Xenopus tropicalis: one gene and its partner. The protein of the gene in region 2 purifies or fractionates together with the protein of the main gene of each other region. This does not show direct contact. Links are inferred from orthologs where the notes say so. Each region holds a gene or a part of one and is shown on either strand. Other genes may lie near its edges.

Region 1 (4,096 bases), on a different chromosome or scaffold from region 2:
CGGAGCTATGGGATATATATGGCTACAGCATTTGGATTCAGCGAGGCGCAGGCTCTAACTGAACCCCTACCCTGAGTCACATGACTATTAAAGCTCTAGACGACTGAATGTAATAACGCTGCACATGTGGGCAAATCCGCATATCGTGCCAGTGCCACAGATTCAACTTGTCTTTTTAAACACAGCCCATGTTACTGGCCACTCATGCAGCAGATGGATCAAAAAGTGCCAGCACCTGAGGGGTTAATGGCATATGGCCCGCCTACAGAATGGGAAACCAATCAGAGCCACAGAGAAGATTCCTGACCTCGGGTTCATTTTTAAGCTGACTTATCTGTGGGATTGTGGGAGCTGCAGTCCAACACTGCCCGTCTCAGACACCGCTGGCACTGCTGCAGCCAATGAAACGCCGGAGCAAATGGCTGTTATTGCAAAACAAAGCTCGACGTTCCAGTCCCAAAGTGCTGAGTCACACTTACACAGCAGTGCCCTAACTGCCTGGCATTGTGCCCTATCTGCCTGGCATTCTGCCACACTGGCTGCTTCTATTGCAAAGAGCCCAGATGCAGTCAGATAGTGGGAGTTGTAGTTCAACCGCATCTAGCGGAGTCCCTGGGCCCAACACTGCTCTACAGACAGTGAATGACTGCACAATGTGGCTAATGGTGAGTGTGTGCCCTGGGCATAAACAGTGAGGGCTTGTGCTGCATCAGGGCCCCCCTGGCACAATTGCACTAACTGGCACAGCCTCAACCTGCCTGCCCAGCAGGCTAATTACAAGGAGATAACCAAGAGTGGCTTTGCCAACATGTATAATCCCCATGCCACATGGCCACAAAGCAGCGAGCCCCCGGCCCTCACACCCACACAACAGATGGCCGCTCTGACCCGACTTCCCCTCGCTGAGAGCCGCAGCTTAGCCCAGTGATAGCCGGCCCGCTGGCACGTCATGCAGCCTGGGCCTCACTGCAAACACACAGTCTGGGGTGAAAGGGCGGCACGTGACACACCAACCAGAACAGCGGGTCACAACATCAACCTGTGACTCTCCTGTATAACTAAACTATAACTCCCTGCATGCTCTTTGTGTTCATTGTAACCAATAGCAGCACTGGGCAAAGCCCTGGGGCACTGGTTTCAATTCCCTGGAGTTATGCAGGGCACCCATTCCTCATCTACTACATGGCAGGAACGGCTCCGGCAGGGCATGGGGCACTGGTAACAATGCATGTGTATAAGGACAGCAGACATGGGCACAACTGGCACCACAGGCTGTATGAAACTACAACTCCCAGCACCTACTTGTTCTGGAAGGTATTTTTGCAGGGCACTAAGCAGCAAACTAAATGATTCTGTGGGATTTCCCTACAGCGCAACATGGACTTTCCCCCCTGGATTCTGTGCTGTGGGGGTGGGACACTAGGTACAGAGCTAAAGGCAAGAGGCCTGGGAGAGGAGAGAGAGAGTGAGAGGGGGGGGGGGGGGAGACTAACGTGTGCATCCCACTTACAGCCCTCTGTTATTATACAACTCCCATCAACTGTCATTCATGATATAGCGGTCAGTGGGCTGCGGGGAGTTACATATCCCTCACCGAGTGGCGCTCACACCCCGGGGCCCTATAACAAGCGCTGTGTGTAGGAGAGACCGTGGAAGTGGCACAGGGGCCACAGCTTATGTGGAAATGATTTGTTCCCACCAGTAAAAGTCTAGGACAGAGACAAGACCCCCCCACACCTATACTGGCAATGCAGAAATACCCTCCTATGGGACTGTCCCTCCGCCTCCCAGCATGCACTGCCAACCCAACCGCCTCCCAGCATGCACTGCCAACCCAACCGCCTCCCAGCATGCACTGCCAACCCAACCGCCTCCCAGCATGCACTGCCAACCCAACCGCCTCCCAGCATGCACTGCCAACCCAACCGCCTCCCAGCATGCACTGCCAACCCAACCGCCTCCCAGCATGCACTGCCAACCCAACCGCCTCCCAGCATGCACTGCCAACCCAACCGCCTCCCAGCATGCACTGCCAACCCAACCGCCTCCCAGCATGCACTGCCAACCCAACCGCCTCCCAGCATGCACTGCCAACCCAACCGCCTCCCAGCATGCACTGCCAACCCAACCGCCTCCCAGCATGCACTGCCAACCCAACCGCCTCCCAGCATGCACTGCCAACCCAACCGCCTCCCAGCATGCACTGCCAACCCAACCGCCTCCCAGCATGCACTGCCAACCCAACCGCCTCCCAGCATGCACTGCCAACCCAACCGCCTCCCAGCATGCACTGCCAACCCAACCGCCTCCCAGCATGCACTGCCAACCCAACCGCCTCCCAGCATGCACTGCCAACCCAACCGCCTCCCAGCATGCACTGCCAACCCAACCGCCTCCCAGCATGCACTGCCAACCCAACCGCCTCCCAGCATGCACTGCCAACCCAACCGCCTCCCAGCATGCACTGCCAACCCAACCGCCTCCCAGCATGCACTGCCAACCCAACCGCCTCCCAGCATGCACTGCCAACCCAACCGCCTCCCAGCATGCACTGCCAACCCAACCGCCTCCCAGCATGCACTGTGCATCTCATACTGCCTAAGGGGAAAGGCTGGTTGGAATTGCACAGATGGCGCAGGCTGCAGGAACACTAGCAGCTGAAGGCACAGGACAGGCCCAGTAAGGGTAAGCGCATAAGGCACAATGCCTAAAGCCACGCTACAATACTCGCCTGTTGCTGGAAGTGCACCACCCCCTTCACGTCGCCGCTTCCCGCCAGCACACACACCGCCCGCACCATGACTGCAGCTACCGAGACCGGACAGCGGAGAAAGCGGAGCCGCGCACCTTGAGAGACAACTAGTGACACAAACGTACCACGTGATTCCTCCAACCAATAAAAGCGGCGCTTTAGGCCCCACCGCCCCAGCAGCTGAGCCAATGGGCTGCTCCCTCAACCACGTGACCCGCGGGCTGCCTGTAAGCTCTGACTCCGCCCAAATCTTTATTCTTGGTTGTATAATCAATAAAAATATCATTTTAATTAACAACATTTATTTGCACAGTTTCAGTGCTTTTAACGTTATTTGTAAATGCAATTGCTAAGGCAGTATCTGCTTATCCCTTTTTATTCTTGGGTTTTGACTTGAAACTGTAGCAGAAGTGTTAATGGGCGGATTTACATTAATGCTGAACTTCTCCAAACCCACCTGTTACTTCAAAATAAATACAAAATAAAGTATTTAAAAAAAAGATTTCCTTACTGAGCAGTGCTACTGACACTATGGGGCCCATTTACTAAACAATTTTGAGATAAATTCGTATTTTTATAGAACATTTTGGAATGTATGGGAAAAAGTCAGTTTCATGGTTTTTCATGGTTTTCGGTAAAATTTCCATGAAAAAGTCGTATTTTGTGCACAGAATATGAACATTTTGGAATTCATTATCGCTATGGTTACACTTTGGGACGTTGCCAGGTTTGTCAAGTGCCATTGAGTCCTATGGGGGCTTCAAAAACTGTTTTTGTGGCGTTTACAAACTTTCAGAACGCAATTGCGATATTTTTGCACAAACGATAAAAGCTTTGTCGAGACATTTTAGAACTACAGAAATTATCGTGTTTACTTTGCATTTCAAGGCCAGAAAAAAGCGCATTTTAGTAAATGTGCCCCTATGTCTGTTTCTTGGAAAAGCCCCAGGCTCCGCCAAACTATCCCGATCCCTGGCTGCCCTCCCCTATTGCTCCCTCGCTGCCCTCCCCCTGCTGATCGTGGAAAAAGTAAGTATAAGTTGCACTGGGGGGGGGGGCTAGCCTTAGATGAGTAGCCGGTGGGGGTGCCAGAGGGGGTGAGGGGACCCCTGGGTAGCAGTCGGACCCTGGCACTGGAGGGGCTAGCCTTAGATGAGTAGCCGGTGGGGGTGCCAGAGGGGGTGTGGGGGCCCCTGGGTAGCAGGATAGCATAAATAATGCCTGGGTGCAGGATAGCAAAGCATCTGTATAGTATGTATAAATGCCGCACTCACAGGTCTTATGAAAACAAAAAATATTTATTAGCAAGGACTAACGTTTCGGCTGACACAGCAGCCTTTCTCA
Region 2 (2,538 bases):
AGCTACACAGCAGCTTATTTATATAGTAGCTTTTCTGTAGCAAAAACACCAGTTTTTTGCAGAGCAACAGTGCATTATATTTTAATTACTTTGAAACACTTTAATTTTTTGATGTTACTGTTCCTTTAATGGTGAAGACACACAGAGCTACTTAGTAGCAGCTACTAAATGCTAGAAAATACCCTGTCACAGGCATTACTGAGGATAAATAAAACCCCCAAAACCACAGGTAAAGACAATTATCAGTAAATGATCAACATGGTCTACTTTAGCAGTCGTGACTAGTAGCCCCATGTGCCTTTACCCTAATAGTTTTGGGTTTAGTGGTGAGAACTTCCCCCTTTTTTGCTACAAGTATATTCACCAGCTGGTTAGAGACTATTTAACTACTCACACATAAACCTATTCCCCCCCCCCCCCCCCCACGGCCACGTGACAAACTGAGCTTTAGTGACTCGGTAGATGAAGGCTGGCAGCCAGGCTATTCTGCAGAACTACAATATGTATTATCAGATCACCCTCTGCTGGAGGCAACGGGTATTACAACCAGATCCACTAGTGCAGAGCACACAGATTCCAATAGGAATTCCTTACCCACTGATACCACAGACAGCTTCTTTCCAATTGGTCAGCTTTGAATGAAACAGTTTTTTTTTTTAAGAAGACTTTTAATTAAGATCAGGAGTAAGTGCTGTCTCTTCCCTACAGAAGGAAGCACTGGGAGTGGCATCTGTTTGGCCAGTGAAGAGGTCAGTGCATTGGATCCATGAGCCACCTTGTGAGTAGGCTTCAGCCGGTCAGTATTCTTTAGAGAAGAACTCCTTGCTGTCCTTTACATTGGGCTTGATGGTGCTGCTGCCGGGCTTCCATCCTGCAGGACATACTGGAAACAGAAGGGATTGCATTTAATCTGATTTTACATGGGCACACCATATGCCAATGTCCTTGTACTGCCACCTATGCCCCACCATAGGAAACTACCTATTCAAGGGGAAGTTAACCTTTTAGTATGTTGTAGAATGTCCTATTCGTAACTTTTTAACCTTTGTCAGGCTACAATTTAGTTATTGTTCCTTTTTATTCCTTATCTTTCTATTTAGTCCCACCACTATTCCTATTGGTCTCTCATTTCAACCACTGGTTGCTAGGTTACTTTGGACCCTAGCAACCAGATAGATGCTGAATTTCTTAACTGTAGAGCCACAGATCAAAAGAAAATACTCCAAAATTTGCAAAAAAAAAAAAAAAAAAGTAAGCTCAGACTTGCCCATTCCTTACCCTCGCCATGTTGATCCGTGTACTGGAATGCCTGCACCAGGCGCAAGGTCTCCTCCACAGAGCGGCCAACAGGAAGGTCATTAATGGTTATCTGGCGAAGGTTTCCTTTTCCATCAATAATGAAGAGCCCTCTGAAACACAAGCCTTCATTCAGTAATGCACGTGGCACCTCTGGTTATAGGGAAAAGGGGTAAAACGAGCCTCACCCACCTGTAGGCAACTCCATCCTCTTCCTTCAGGACACCATAGTCCTTTGCAATAGAATGAGTCAGATCAGACACCAGGGGTATGTTAATGGGCCCCAAACCGCCTTCTTTACGGGGTACATTGGTCCTGGAATATAATAGTGCATTCATATCTGTTATAGGTCCACCTTAACCTCTTTCAATCCCCTCTTTCCTAATATAACACCTAAATGTTTCAGATAACTGCACCCACTCTAAACCACACCCAGCTTCGATAAACCTCATTCATTCTTTACTGCTGCGCTGCAAGTTGGAGTATGTCACCCCCCCATCCCAGTAAATCAGCATTGTCTTTTAGTAGCCATGGCAAGTAGCTGCTACTAGTAGTCTCTTCACCTTTAACCTTAATTAGCTTGTACAGTAAAGGGTATATTATATACATTATATTAATAGTATATACACAGTAGGCACTTGTTTATAAGTCACTGTACCATTATTTACAATTCCAGATCCTAAATACATTATGCAGTGGGGGCAGAAGAAATGGGGTTCTGGAATGCATTACATTCAGAGAGAGACAGGGGCACCCAAAATAAATGAAATACAGTGAAAAGCAGTATTCCTGAAGGCTAGAAAGGATTTCAGCATTGTAGAAGTTCACATTGCTCACTAGCCCCACCTAATGGTGCACATGAGAATGGCACCCAGCAGGAGAAACCGTTTTGCTAGTATGACTTTGGTCATATTGAAAGTACATTGAGCAGAAGAAATAGGTTACCTGAAAGCAGTTCTAATGTGTAGCGTTGTGTACAGTAGACACAAAGCCCACTCCCATTTTAAGCCACTCGTTATGGTTCTAAAACATCTGCACTATTGCAGTTTTTTGGGTGGGGAGTGTGACCCAGTGCTGGGAAGATAAGATGTTATGCTCCATGCAGATTAGAGGCCTCTATTCCTCAAGGGTTTTTGCCGACTTTTTGCTGTTTTTTTACTGTGTTAGGGTTAATTGTTATGAGCTAAATACAATGCTATGTGCAGTATGAGGGCATTATAGTGCGATTTATTCAGGCCCGGA

Evidence for each region. Proteins that work in one complex are often made in the same cells at the same time.
Region 1: the proteins of prdx2 (region 2) and sod1 fractionate together in Homo sapiens (co-fractionation; 3 studies listed by BioGRID, with this or other methods). This does not show direct contact. The link is inferred for Xenopus tropicalis from reciprocal best matches to the Homo sapiens genes PRDX2 and SOD1.

The regions. Positions count from the first base shown.
Region 1 is NC_030678.2:15,648,524-15,652,619, forward strand, and holds the start of sod1 (superoxide dismutase [Cu-Zn]), read right to left. Parts: upstream 2,817-4,096; 5' UTR 2,801-2,816; coding exon 2,732-2,800; intron 1-2,731. UniProt on the Homo sapiens protein: Destroys radicals which are normally produced within the cells and which are toxic to biological systems.
Region 2 is NC_030679.2:140,340,570-140,343,107, reverse strand, and holds the end of prdx2 (peroxiredoxin-2), read right to left. Parts: intron 1,612-2,538; coding exon 1,489-1,611; intron 1,410-1,488; coding exon 1,279-1,409; intron 884-1,278; coding exon 798-883; 3' UTR 648-797; downstream 1-647.